Linked DNA regions of Notamacropus eugenii. The protein of the gene in region 2 binds, or shares a complex with, the protein of the main gene of each other region. Links are inferred from orthologs where the notes say so. Each region holds a gene or a part of one and is shown on either strand. Other genes may lie near its edges.

What was found. Proteins that work in one complex are often made in the same cells at the same time.
Region 1: RBL2 (region 2) and MYBL2 share a complex: the UniProt entries of both Homo sapiens proteins name them as parts of the DREAM complex. The link is inferred for Notamacropus eugenii from reciprocal best matches to the Homo sapiens genes RBL2 and MYBL2.

Annotation. Positions count from the first base shown.
Region 1 is NC_092872.1:420,949,958-420,957,413, reverse strand, and holds the start of MYBL2 (myb-related protein B), read right to left. Parts: upstream 3,009-7,456; 5' UTR 2,994-3,008; coding exon 2,665-2,993; intron 2,286-2,664; exon of another isoform or gene 1,950-2,285; coding exon of another isoform or gene 1,930-1,949; intron 1-1,929. UniProt on the Homo sapiens protein: Transcription factor involved in the regulation of cell survival, proliferation, and differentiation. Transactivates the expression of the CLU gene.
Region 2 is NC_092872.1:469,041,557-469,049,248, reverse strand, and holds the start of RBL2 (retinoblastoma-like protein 2), read right to left. Parts: upstream 3,001-7,692; 5' UTR 882-3,000; coding exon 621-881; intron 1-620. UniProt on the Homo sapiens protein: Key regulator of entry into cell division. Directly involved in heterochromatin formation by maintaining overall chromatin structure and, in particular, that of constitutive heterochromatin by stabilizing histone methylation.

The sequences.
Region 1 (7,456 bases), about 48 Mb from region 2:
TACTTACTAGTACTCAATATTTTCAAAACGTATTCTGAATGCAGATTTTAAAGTTATAACACTATTGGGAAAATAAGACCAAGTGGCCAAAACTTTTTCCTCTCCTCACCAAATCATGGTTCTTAAGTTGGGGTCTGAGAACTTAAAACAAAAAAATTTTTATAACTATTTCAATATGAGTTTCTTTTGTGATCTTTTGTATTTTATTTTATGCATCAAAAACATGCTTCTGAGAAGGGTTCCCTAGACTGCCGAAGGGGTCTTTGACACACACAAAAAACGTTAAAAAACCCTAGACCAGATCTTTAAGGACAATTTCCTAGAAGCAAAATCCAAACGGCCAAGACAGGTCAAATACAGCGCCAGAACAGGTTGTGTCCTGAATGTTCCCTTTCAGAAACAAAGTTTTAAAAGGTGGCTATGAACCCAGAAAAAGTCAATTTCACCTATCATGTAGCTGAAACAGAACTTAACCACTTTTAACATTGTTTCTATCAGAAAAAAATGCATCTAGAGTTCCAATTAATTATTTTGGACAATAGCTGCCCCTATCAACTCAACCCTGCCTGGTGGCCACAAGAGAAAATAATTCTAGCAGCTGACAGGCAAAGAAATGTGCCTCATGCTCCTCACCATGATCCCAAGGCCAAAAGAAGCCTTTCGGCAGAAAGAGAGAGAAACTATTTGTAGGTAAGCAATAACTTACAAGTGGGATGTTTGTAAGCTGGGAACTGCCTGCTAAGGCAAAAAAACACCCAGGAAAAGTGGCAACTAATATAGGCGTTTAATATATATATATATGTGCAGCATGATATCATAAATAACTTCAGCCCTATGTTTCAGGGTGCAGAAAATTTGAGGGGCACAATTATACTGTAATTCTTGTCTCCCTCCTACAACAGACAAGAGAGACCTCTGAAATACATATGTATACATGTATGTATATATACACATGCATATGTGCACCCTCCATACTTAACAAAGACATTAAAACACTCAGGCCATCAAAACTCCCTACAAAGAACCTCTAAACACTAATGCCCTTTGGTATAATCCACAAGCATGTCTGGAATATAAAACCCCTCTCTTCCACTGCCCTTTGCTTTGGGAAGGGTGGATTTATTAGTTTTTTTCATAATTCTCAATTTATAAGAATTCATTTCCTCCACACCCGACTCTCACATGAACCAAGATAGAAGTTCATGGATGACATCTGCGCTCACAATTTTAGGTTGAATATTCAATATTTTGTGACCTTAGGTAATCTCCTCTCAGAGCCCCAAACTCATCCTTTGCAAAAGTGGGGTAGGTGGAGAGGTCCTAGATCAGATGAGTGCATGTCTTTTCTTATATTTTGGTAACTGTATTTCAATATTCAGTTGGTTTCCTTTGTAATTCTATGCATTTTCCTTTACGCACTTAAAAATGCTACTGAGAAGAAAGGATGATGGCATTATCAAGAGTACATTCTCGGATTCTGAACAAGTCCTGAAGTCCCTTCCAACTCTAATGAGACACTGCTCCTTACAATATTTGCTGGGCAAGCCCTAGACCCCCGGAGCCCGTGCCCTAGAACTCCCCATTAGCACCCATTTTACAGACGGCTAAGCTGGGGACCCAAAGACAAAATGCCCCGTGTGCGGACTACGCCCCAATCAGCCTGCAGCGGCCGGCCAAGAGGCCCCCGGGTGTCCGTGGTCCCCCCGGGGGAACCAGGGGTGGCAGCGCGTGGGCAACTGCACGGAGAGCGGAAAAACTGAACCTTAGCCAGACACCCACCTATGGGGGGGGCTCTACTATTTAACCTAGGTTCTCCGGGAGGTCCGCAGGCACCCCCTCTCACCCACTACTAACTGGAGAATGGGGGGGGGGGGGGGTCCGCGGATAAACAAAACAGGGCTGAAGGCCCCCTGAGGTGGTCCAACTTACCCGCGAGTCCGGCGAGCCATCCCCTCTCTGCTGCCCTCGGGGCCAGGGGGTCATAAAGGCGGCGGAGGGAGGGGGGCAGGACGCGAGGAGCGGGGAAAGGAGGGAAAGAGAAGGGGGAAGGGGAGGGGAGGAGAGGAAACGGGGGAGAAGAGAGGGAGGGAAGAAAAGTGGGAACGGGGCAATGGAGGACGGGGCGAGCCCGGTGGGGAGGGCGCAGGGGAAGGGGGCGCAGCAGCCCGCCCGGCGGAGCCGACTCCTGCCCTGCCCGGCCCGGCCCCGGCCGGAGCTCGCCGGCGGCAGACGCTACGAGCCCCCGCCTAGGAAATGCAAGTGCGGGCGGGAGCAGGGGGAGGGGGAGGGGGAGGGGGAGGGCGGGGGGAGGTCGCGGCCGGGAGGCGCCCCCTCCCTCCGAGGCTGCCCGGCGGGGGCCGCTGCCGCAGCCGGCGTGGAAGAGCGGGACGCGCCGCCGCCGCCGCCGCAGGACTTTCCTATCTCGCGCCAACTGCGGGCGGCCGCCTCCCTGATCCCTCCCTCCTCCCCGGGCTGGCGCGAGCGTGCGCGAGGCGGACGCCCGGGAAGCCAGAGGCAGCGCTGGGTGGCTGGCGGGCGGGCGGGAGGCGGAGGAAGGGGAAAAGAGGCGCGCGCGGGTAAACTGCGAGAAACTTTGCAAAGCCCCCGCCACCCGCCGGCCCATCCGTCCGTCCATGCCCGCCTCCCCGCCGCGCCCCCACTTACGGCAGGCCCACCGGCAGCCCCTCGGCGCGCCCCTCCGCCCCGAGCGCCCCGGGGCCAGGCGGCCGGCGGACTGGGCCGCACGTGTGCCGGTGCCGTCCGCTTCGAAGGGCACTCTGCTTTAAAGCCCATGGCCGGACGGGGAGCGGGGCTGCGCCGGCTCCGAAAAGACCCAAAGCTCGCCGAGTTAAAGCTCCGATATGGCTTTTTAACTGGGCTGAGCCGAAGCCCCTGCTGCAAGGGGTCTTGGGAAATGTAGTTTCGTTGCATGTGCAGAGTCCAAGGTAGATGTCTGAGTTAAATAGAAAGGGAGATCCTGGGATGCAGTTCATCTGATGAGAGGAGGGTGGATGTTTTCAGTTAAATAGAACGTTAAATCAAGGGATCAAGTACCTAAAAAATAACCTGGTCCAACCCGCCTTTACTTTGCAGATGAGAAAACTGACACCCAGAGTCTGCTGAAAACTTTTTTTATCCAGTAAAATATTAAGAGATTAGTTGATTCTCCTGCTTTTAATGCTGCCTGTAGGAAGGATTTTATGGGGAAATTTAATGGATGAATTCAACATTTTGATTTTTTTTAAAAATAAAATGCTTCTCCAGATCTTTTTTTTGCAAAAATAGGGGACTGTGAGTAAAAACTGTCAGTGTGTTTATGTGTTGTTTAATTTTGTTGGTCCATTGTTTTCTTCTTATTTTTTGTTAAAAGGGAGTGCTGCCTGGGGAGGGAATCGGGAGGGAATAAATGCCTTGCAGTCCTTTATCCCTTTTCTCCTCTCCTCTTTGTCCAAACAAACCAAAAAATCAGTGGCTCTTTAAAACCAAAGTGCTTTAAGTCATTCAGTTTAGTTCTCGCCCTTTTCTCCAGCAGCCCTATTTTTATTCGATTGAAGAGATCCCCTTCCACCTTTCTGTAGCTCGGTAAACAAGCTCCTGGTTGTCCATTCTTCACTTTCCCTCAGTCCCCCTCCCCACATCTAATCACTTCATATCCTCCTGACAGCGTATTTTTCCACTCTTTCCAGTCCATTCTCCACAGGGCTACCAAACTGATAGGCTCTGACTGTGCCTCTAGGCTACAATGCAAACTCCTCTACTTGGTGTTTAAAGTCTTTTATAATATAGCTCCAGACTAACTCTCTAAGTTAATTTCATATTTCACAAACTCTTCCAGCCAAGCTGGCCCACATACTGTTCTTTATACATGATGTTCCATCTCCCACCCCCATGCCTTTGCACAAGTTGTGCCCCATGCCTGGAATTCCCTCCCTCTTCTGCTTCTAGCTCCCCTCAAGACTCAACTCATATGCTAATTCCTACATTAGAGCAAGTCTTTCCTTTTTCCCAGATCTCCACTCCTACCCCAGAAATTATTTCCTTTTTTGTGTGTATATACATATTCATATTTATATATATATACATAACATACATATTATATACCCCCAATGGAATATAAGCTCCTTGAGTCCATGAATTTTCATTTTTGTCTCATAGTCACAACACCTGGTAGGTGCCTTGCAGCTGGTAGGTATTTAATAAATATGAATTGAAGTCATACAAGGAGAGCAAAGGATAGCAAACACTTGGTATCCTCAAAATACTAAATCATTTTGAGGAAAGGCTCCACTGAATTGGACACTATGGAAGCCTTTGGAAAGGGCATGGACAAGAATTACATAAAATGAAAAGGCAGGGAGGGATGGTTGAACATCTACACTGGAGGAGAAGACTAGAGAGCCATCAAAGTATGTAACAAAATGGTAATTACAACTTTAAAAACTTTTATTGATGCCTTTTTAAATATCACAGTCATTTCTGGATATACCCCTCCTACAGACCATGTAATCGTTTTTTTATAACAAAATAAAGTTAAGCAAAACCAATGGTCACATGGACTGACCTCATATGAAACACTGCAGACTCATAGTCTCCTACTTCATTTCCCAGGTCAAAATCCACAATTTAAAGTTTCTGGACTGTTCTGTTCTTGTCTTTCCACATTAGCGTATAAAGGAAAGAGACAAGACCCTAAAGGCAGAAAATCTGAGTTCTAGGCCTGGCTCAGTCTTTAACTTGAAAGACAATCTCCAATCTCCCTTAGGAAATTAAACTTTCCCTGGGAATAATGATAGCAAGGTTTAAAAAGAACTTTTTTTTTTTAATTTACAATTTGCAAAGTACTTTTTTCACAGGAAACCTGTGAGGTAGATAGTTCTTTTTAAATACCATTTTATAGATGAGGATTGAGGGCTCAAAAATGTTTAAGTGATTTGGCCAGAATCACACAGCTAAGGAAACCTTCTATTACCTGCCTTTAGGCATTTAACAAATTATATTCTGTATTATAGGTATTTGTTCAGTCATCTCTAACTCTCTGTGATCCCATTTGGGGCTTTCTTGGCAAAGATACTGGAGTAGTTTGCCATTTCCTTCTCTAGCTCATTTTACAGAGGTGGAAACTGAGGCAAATAGGGTGAAGTGACTTGCCCAAGATCACACAGCTATTAAGTGTCTGCGACCAAATTTGAACTCAGGAAGCTGTCTTCTTGAGTTCAGGTCTGACGCACTATCCACTATACCACCTAGTTTCTCATAGTTATTTGTGAATATGCCTTATTGCCCTAAACACTGTGAACTCCATGAAGGCAAAGCTCATTTCTCACTTTTTGTGTCACTCTGGACTAATCAAAAGTTGTGCCCGTCCTTCGTTTTAGAAGAAGACCATGACATCAGAGAAATGATGACATGACTTACACTTGACTTTGTTTTGAGTGAGGGAGAGCTGCGATCCAGTATGGATCACTCAAAGGACAATAGATTGGTGAACAGAATGAAGACTTTAGTACACTACCAACTGCACAAATCAGTATATAAAATATGTAAGAGAATTACAACTAGAAGAGAAGGCTGGCTGGTTTCATTGGTATCCATGTAATTTTTTAAAAAGGTTTATTAGTACTTTGAAAAAATGTTTACATGTCAGTGCCCAATGCCTCCTTCTCTTAATAGCAGTACTACCCTCATACTAGTACTGCTGTGCAAATGAACAAAAACATCAGCCATATCTAACAACATAATTTCATCTAATAGTCCACCATCTCAAAGATGAGAGCCTTGCAAGTACTGCGAAATCAAAATTGTTGGCTGCACTGATCACAATCCATACACCTTTTATTGTGTTTAAGTTGCGTGATTGTAGTCATGGGGTTTTACTTCACTACATCAATTCATACAAGTCTTCTCAAGTTTCTTTGAATTCTTCACATTCATCAGTTTCCTCCAGCACAACGATATTCCTTTCTATTCTGTCCAGCTACTTCCCAGCTGATAAGAGAAAATCACTGTTTCCAGGTCTTTACTTCCTGCCAATAAACAGTATTTTTATATATGTGGGACCCTTGCTTCTGTCTTTGACCTTCTTAGAGCATGTGCCCAACAGAGGTATTGCTGGGTCAGAGTTTGGTGACTTTTCTAATATAATCAGAATTGTTGGACCAATTCACAATTCTACCAACAATGAATTAGTCTTATTTTCCTCCAGGCCCTTCAAAATTTAGCATTTTCATCTGTCATCTTTGCCAATATGACGCACACAGAGAAGAAAATCTCTTAGATTAATGTTTCTCCTATTATTACTGATAAGGGGATTCTTTCCTATTGTTATAGAATGTGAGTTCCTTGAATAGATTGTTTCATTCTTTTTATTAGTATCTCTAGTGTCTATCGTACACTGTTTAATACAAGCTTGTTAATTGATTGAAGATTTGCATTTCTTCTTTTGATATCTTCTTGTTCGTAAGTTTTGACCTTTTATTACTGGGGGAATGACATGCTCTTATCAATTCTTTCTGTATCATGGATAGGGCAGCTAGGTGGCGTAGTGGATAGAATGCTGGTCCTGGAGCCAGGATGACCTGAGTTCAGATGTGACTTCAGACACTTATTAGCTGTGTGTGACTCTGGGCAAGTCACTTAACCCCGTTTGCCTAAGTTTCCTCACCTGTAAAATGAACTGGAAAAGGAAATGGCAAACCACTTCAGAATCTTTGCCAAGAAAACACAGAGTCCTACACAACTGAACAACAACAAATATCTTTTAAGATCAATCACGCACTAGTTAAAATTACCTATGAAGCATCATATTGGGGAAAACAGTTTTCATAACTGTCTGATCTAAGAGGTAGCTTACTGCAGAAGACCTCTGAACAGAAATGTAAGTAGAGCAGGGCTTGTCTAATCTCTTCCTGTGTCATGACCTGGACCATGTGCCCCGACCTAGGGAAGCCTGAGTTACCATATAAGTAAGTACAGGATAATCATACCCATGCTCCCTCTTACAAGATCTTATGAAAGGCAAAGGGGATTGTAGGGATGCCATAATTTTCCTGTATCAGTTTTAAGCCATAATTATTAGTCATGTTGAGTATTATTAAATAATTTATACTGATAACATTGAATTTTAATGCACAATAGTTATTTGCACCCAGCCCAAGTTTCTGCATGCACCAGGCCTTCCCATGAGGGCTATACCCAGCTCTACCCTTCTGCTGCCTGCAACTACCTCAGCCTAACCTTATCTTCTATCCACCCAGGCCTGCGCCTACCCTCTTCCACTAGGCCAACCCTGAGTAAGGAGCTGCCCACCTCTGCCCCCTCCCCACTTCCCAAACCCAAGGACCATGAAATTACCTAGGGAACCTGAACCTTATCCTAAGCCTCTATTAAGTCATTGCAGGACCTTTGGCTTCATGGTGGGGTAATTCCAAATATGATAAAGACACGTTTCTCTTAAAAG
Region 2 (7,692 bases):
TGCTAGCTCTTCGCCTTTATTTCCCACCCAGATGACCTCCTGGATTTCATGATCTCCTCAGCAACCCTCACCTCCCGGGATCATTCCCCATGCAAGCGGCCGGACTTGATGACACCCTGCCCCGCTCCTTCCTCACTTTTTTAGGTGTGCTCTCCCCCTCAGGACACTGGGAGCTCAGGGCTTGTTTTACATCTCTCTTTGTCTTCCCAGAGCTTAGCACAGGGCCTGGCACACAGGAGGCATTCGCTAAATGTTCACGAACTACTGACACGAAGGCGTGAAGGGCCCTCAGAATGATTTAATCCGACCCCCCATTTTACAGACGAGCAACGGAGGGTCGGGGAGGGGAGGTCACCAGCGAAGAGCCACACAGCGTTCCAGCCTGCCTTTAAATCCCCCGCCCCCAAGAGGAGCCTTTCTCGCTCCAAGGCAAACAGCCCCTCCGGGGGAGGGCGTACGTCGCCCACCGTGCGCGCGTGCGTGTGCGTGCGTGTGCGTGCGGTGGGCACGAGTCCGCGGGAGGCGGGCACTCGACCCGGAGGGGCGGTGGCCAGGCCCGAAATCCGGCTGCGGCTCTGCCCCAGGCCCGCCCGCCCGCCCCTCCCTGGATGCGGGCGCACCTCCAGCGTGTAGCTTTGGCTCATGCTCCGGTAGCTCTCCCACGCCTCGGCCCGCGCCTCCTCGTCCATGTTGAGGCGGCCGCAAAGCTCGTCAAACCGCTGGCGCGTCTGAGGCGCCGGCGTCTGCCCGACAGGCCCGCCGCGCTCTGCCCCAGCCTCCTCCCCACCATCCTCCGTGGGCGCTTCCTCTTCCGCGCCGTCGTCTTCCTCCTCTTCGGAGGCCGCCGCCGGCGGAGGCGGCTGGTCTGCCCCTGCCGGCATCGCGCTCCGCTCCGCTCCGCGACGGCCGCTTCTTAGGCGAACGGGCGGCCCCGGCCCGGAGCCATTCAAACCGCGAAGCGCCCGCCCGGCCGGCTGCCCGCAGCGCGCCTGCGCCGCCAACGGTTACGTGGCCGCTCCGGCCGCCGTCACTGCGAACGCGGCCTCCTGGAAGCTGTAGTCCGCGTCGGGTGCCCGCGAGGGACACAAAGCCCCATTTTGTGTCTTCGGCCGAGCAGCTCGGCTTCCTAGGAATTTACGAGTTGGGAGCGGCTCCTAAGTCATTCAAGCCTCCTCCTTTATTGTTCAAATGTGCCAGTCCCCGGGACAGGTGCCAAGCTTAGCTGGGAACTCGGGGGTGGAGGTGCGTGGAGCTTTTTTTCCCCCCCTATTCCTTCTTAGGTTCCCTGTAGAACGATCTCTTTTTTATAGGAGAAACAGAAGGAGCAAGAAGTTGTTGGAACTGTAAGACACACCTTAGCCTTGTTAGAAGGGGGAAGGAAACAGGTTCAGGTAGAGTGAGTTATCCAAGGTCACCCCCCTGGGGACTGCAGCTCAGACCTTCTCATTCCCCTGCAGGCCTTTTCCCTTCCATGCTACTTCTACACTGGCCATCTCATTTTCTCAGCCTCAACAAGACTCATCATAGGAGTGGAAAGTTAGAGCAGGAATCTGGACGCTTGGGTCCTTGTTCCTACTCCATATGCTTTCTAGCTGCGTCAATCTCATCAAGGTGGGCCTTAGTTTCCTCATCTGTTAAACAAATTAGGGAATGTGTCAGTGGCTGAGTATTCTCTGAACAAATTGAACGTCATCGAACATTAATGTGCCCTAGGAAATCAAGAATGATCTGAAAATGCCTGGGAGATTGAAAGAAATGTGACGTGCAGAATAAAAAAAAGAGAATTTGAATAGGATACAATGTAGAGCTACCACTGTAAAAAGCTGGCAACAAAATTAAAATATGTTGATCAGAAAGGGTTACAAAAGCAAATGGGAGCATTTTAATTAATCACATGTACAAAATTTGCCAGTAATTTGGAGTTTGCAGTTTTATGTATAATCATTTTTTTTTCATTTTGAGTATTTTATTGTTACTTTTAAGAATAAAAATAAGGGTTCAATAATGTATGCTGGGCTTGGATTTAGAAGACCTAGATTGTAATCCCCAACTCTGCCATTAACTTGATGTATTATCTGGGGCAAGTTCCAGCCCTTTTGAGACTCGTTTCTTCTTTTGTCAAATAAGGAGGTTCAGAGCATATGGTCTACCACTCAGGCCTCATTCCTACTGCAGTGCTATTTCCCCCAACTCTATACACTGGGACACCTATTCAGTCTCCCCAAGTCTCATCATGGGAGTAAAAAATTGCAACTGATATTCTGTAATTTACATCCTTTAAGGTACATTGGTATGACTTGAATAATTCTGAGTCCTTCTGCCTAATCTCAAGGCCACCTAAAAATATGACCAAAATGCCCTCCCCTAAAACTAATTCAGTCATAAAATTCTCCTGCCTCAAAGCCTGGGTTGAGGTTTTAACTGAACCTTGATTCTCAGTCATTCTAAACCTTCTAAAAATATCCTTGAAACCTTATTTTACACACACATCCAGCCAAGGGGGAGAGTAAAAGAAAACTGGATTTGGAGAAAGGTGATGAGTTGCTGCTAATCACAATCTGTGTGATCTTGGGAAAATTCTGCTCTAGTTTCAATAGTGTAAAATTTGGGGGTTGGTCTAAATGGTCTCTGCTGTCTCTTTTGAGATTCTGTGAACTGCTTCCTAAGGAGCCTAAATTTGGGCTTCTTCCAGCTAAGTGGAAAAGTACCAAATCAGGAGTTAGGAGACCTACTAGTCCTGTTCTGCCACTCTGTGACTAGGTAATTCACCTCCTCTTTCTGTTGCTTCTTTTCAAAAAGAATCATTACATACACCCTGTTAAACCCTAAGCTGGAACAGAACCCAAATGGAGAGAATACCTATGTCTCACTTAGGAAGAGACCAGGGTTTTCTAAATGTCACTTTTTTTTAATCTTTATACAAAAGACAGAAAAAGAGATTTGTATCTGAAACCTCGCATCTATAAATACTTTAAAAAAGTGTATTAAATTTATGTTAGTTTCAAAGCTGTTCTGCTTGTATTTCCTTCCAGAGTTGCTTCTTTAATGTATATTTTATTTCATTTTTCAATGAACATTTAAAACGAACACTTAAATGATTTTTTTTGTCATTGCTATTGCTAACTTCCCTTTATTCTCCAAGGAATAAAGAATTACATAATTCTCTTAATAAGTATGGTCAAGCAAATCCAAACCCACACATTTGCATGTTCAAAAGTGTATGATTTGTTTTACACCTTGAGTCTCTCCCCCCTCAGCATATAAAGCATTATTTGTAAAAAATGATTAATACAGTACTAAATAAGAAATGACCTTTTGCTCAATACTTCTTGAGTGACTATGATTTTAACTATGTAGGTACTCCTCCCAGTGATACAGATTACAATCTATCCATGTCTGTCTCTCCTGTGTGATTGTTCCATGTATTCCCACAAATCCTTCCAGGGGTACCACCCAATGTGCACATTGCCTTTCTCTGACTTTCTGTTGTAGCAGGGATGGATACTAATAGAGCACCTGGACAGTATCTGTTCTTTACTTTCTCTCACATTGGTTAAGCTACATATATTTTAGTAACCATCTTCTATGTGTCAGTTACTGTACTAGGGAGACAAAAACAAAAATGAAAGTCTGCCTTAAAGGAGCTTTTTTTCTGAGAGACAAAGTGTACGTATAAAAGTACATGCAAAATAAGGATAAGGTAGCTTCTTGCAGATCTCACTTGGGCTGAGTTTTGAATGAAAGTAGGGCTTCTTAGAGATGGAGGTGTGGAGGACGTGCATTTCAAGCATGGAAGACAGCTGGGGCAAAGGCTGCGAGATGAAGGATACCAAGAAGTATAGTTTGACTGGACCACAGCACATACAAAGGAAAGTAATGTATGACTCTGGAAAGGTAGTTTGGAATTTGTTTATAAAGGATTTTAAATATCAGAGGAGTTTGTACTTCATCATGGGGAGCCACTGGAATTGAGCAAGAGAATGAAATGATGTAACTGAAGATTTAGGAAAGAATAGGCATTTACTAAGTACCTACTATGTAGTGGGGTGGGGGGGGGGAGGCTCGAAACATATTTCATCATAAGCCCTTAGGATTTCTGGTTGGTCACCGTGTTTATTAAGGTTCCTAAGTTTTATAGATATAGACAGATAATGATATATTTTTATTTAATTGGTCAAGACTGCCTTCTCACCTACCTCTCTACTCCCTACCTTCCCATTGAGAACACAAGAAAAGGTCAGCTTAGCAAAACCAAGTATGTAGCCCTTTCTGTTGAAACAAAAAATAGGAAACTGAAGGACTATCCATCCTTTGGGGAATGACTGAACAACTTATGATACATAACTGTGATGCAATACTATCACCCTGTAAGAAATGAAGGGGACAACAGGGTCAGAGGAAGTAGATGGTTCTCTCTGGCATCATTCAATAGTCAAAGATGCTACAGATGAAGGTGACATAGCTGACCAAGCCCTGCAGTGATCTGGCTCAGAGATGATTCCAGGCCTGTTACTCCTGCTGTAGCTCATCAAGGAGGACCTGGTGAATGATGTTGTGGCTGACTTATTTGCTCTCTACCTGTGATTCAGCGAGGATGAGAAATGACAAATAGGCTAACTTCAGAAAAATCTGGAAAAGCTTATATGAACTGATGCTGAGTGAAGTGAGCAGAGCCAGGAGAACATTATACACAGTAACAACCACAGAGTGTGAGGATTATTTTTGATAGATTCACAGCAATGCAAGGACCTAAAACATTTCCGAAGGACTCATGATGCAAAATGCCATCCACATCCAGAGAAAGAACTATGGAGTTGGAACACAGAACTATGGAGTTGGTAGATTATTTTCCCTTTTGTCATGTTTTGTTTTTCTCATGGCTTCTCCCATTCGTTTTAATTCTTCTATGCAACATGACTAATGTGAAAATGTGTATAATAGGAATGTTTGTGTAGAGCCCATATAAAACTGCATGCCATCTTGGGGAAGGAGGGGGAGAAAATTTTGAAGTTATGGAAGTGATTGTTGAAAACTAAAAACAAATTAATAAATTTGGGGGGGAAAGAAAATAGTGTGCATGAATGCAAGGACAGTGTAATAAGGCTGGAAAGATAATCTGGAGTGAAGGCTTTAAATGCCAAATAGATTTGTCAACAGGTAATCAAATTATAACTTATTCTAGAAGTAATACAAAACCACTAGAATTTGTTGTGTAGAGGGGTGACATGGTCAGACCTGAATTTTAGGAAAATCCTCTAGCAATTGTATGGATGGTTTGGAATAGAGACTTAGGCAGAGGGACCAATCAAGAAACTATTGCAATAATCCAGAAGTAATGAGAACCTAAACTAGGGTTGCAGATCTGTGAATAGAGAGAAGTGGTTGGGTATGAGAGAGATTGTAGAAGTAGAAATAACAAAATTTGGCAAGTGATTGGCTCTGTGGGCTGAGGAGGAGTGAACAGTTGGGTACAATGTTAAGACTGTGAACGTGGGTGACTGGAAGTAGTGTGGTACCTTTGAAAGTTGGAAGAGAGGTGATTTGGGAAAAAGACAATTATGTTTTGAATGTGCTCAGCTTCTGATCCTCTGGAATATCCAGGTTATCCCACTGCCACTAGGAAGTTGGTGATATAGTACTGGAACTCAGGAAAGAGACTAGGGTTGGATATGTAGATCTACAATTAATCTATATAGAGATGAAAAACATTAGACCTGTGTGAGCTGATGAGGTCACCGAGAGAGTGTAGAGAAAGAAAAGGAGAAGGTCAAGGACAGAACCTTGTGTAACACTCACAGGTAAGGAGTATGATAAGCATTTCTTTTGCAAAAAAGACTAGTTTAGATAGATAAAAAGAAAACTGATTAATTAATCATGAAAACCCAGAGAGGAGAAAGTATCCAGGAAGAAAGGATAGTAATAGAAATGATGCAGAGAGGTAAAAGAAAAAATAAATGTGAAAAGGTCATCAGGATGTCTGAATATAAATTGAAGCATACTTTTTTTTTTGCTTTATTTTTCTTGAGGTTTTTTCTATGTTTTCTTTCACAACATGACTATTGTGGATATGTTTCACATGACTACACAGGTATAACCTGTATTGAATTGCTTGCCTTCTCAAAGGGTGGGGGGGAGAGGGAGAGGGAGAAGGGAGAGAATTTGGAACTCAAAGTTTTAACAATGAATGTTAAAAGTTGATTTTATATGTAATTGAGGAAAAATAAGATACTAAATAAATAAAAAATGAAGTAAAAAAAAGGTCATTCATAGGGATCAATAAATCAACAAGCACCTAAGTTCCTGCTATGTACAAGGTACCACACTAAATGCTGTGGGATGCAAAGACAAAAATGAGTCCTTGCCCTCAAGGAATGTACATTCTCCCAGTCAGTCAATAAGCATTTATTAAGCACCTACTATATGCCAGGCACTGTGCTAAGCATTGGCAGGGGGGAGAGGGTAGACACAAAACGGCAAAAAACAATCCCTGCCCTTAAGGATATCACAGTACAATTGGGAGACAACAAACAAATGCACGTATAAACATAAGCTATATACAAGAAAAATAGGAAATAGAAGAGGGAGTGCACTGAAATGTAGGTGTTGGGAAAAACTTCCTGGAGGTGTGATTTTAGCTGGTACTTGACAGAAGCCAGGAGACAGAGTTGAGGGAGATCATTCTAGTCATGGGGGAATAGCAAGAGAAAATTCAGGAGTTGAGAGCTGTCATCTTGCTAGGGATAACAAGGAAGCCAGAGTCACCAGGTTGAAGAGTGTGTGAAGGGAGGTGGGCGTGGTAGAAGATGGAAGACTGAAAGGGGGTGAGGGAGTAGATTACAAAGAGCTGTCAAGGCCTAATGTCACACAAGAAGCCTAACCCAGTATCTCTTAATTGTAGTCCTTAGGAGTCTAAAGGGGCAACTAGATGGTGAAATGGATAGAGCACTGGGCCTGAGACAGGAAGACTCCTTCCTTTGTTCAAATTTGGCTTTTTTGTTTTTTGGGGCAGGCAAATGAAGTCATCTTTTGCCTCATTTCTTACCTAGCTCTAAATCACAGAATGGGTATTGCCTCAAACCGAGATGTGGGAAAGACCTTAGCTTAAAAAGGCCAAGGTCTCCCATAGCTTCTGGGGCCATTGCTAGTTGTCCTGATCTATGTCTTGCTACTGGACTCAAATGACCTTGGAGGAGAGTGAAGCTGGTGACTTTGCACAGCCCTGTCTCACTTAAATCCAATTCACTTGCAAGTCAAGACATTACCCTCCTGATATTATTTGTCCTCCTCTTTATATCCTTCCCTTATCCTTTCACCTACATGGAAAAACAGAAATTGTTTAGAATTTTTTTTTTAATGGAAAAATGAACCCTTCAGGAGTTGGGCAGTTATTGGTCAGGTAACCCTTATATAAAGATATGAATATATTCTCATATACATATATCTATTCTGGAAGCAGGATCACATAGCAAGAAGCATCACTATTATTTAACAGTGCTAGGCAGTCACTGGTTGGAGACATTTCCAACAGCACTTCTTGTGGACCATCGGGCTGTTAGCTCAACCCTTGAACAACCAGTAGGGAGCAGTGTAGCATCACTCTAAACATCAAAAGCTTTTTAACATAGGGACGAGTGGTCCCTCTACTTGGAAACCTTGGCCGCATATGTTTCCAGATTCTCTATGTATGACAGG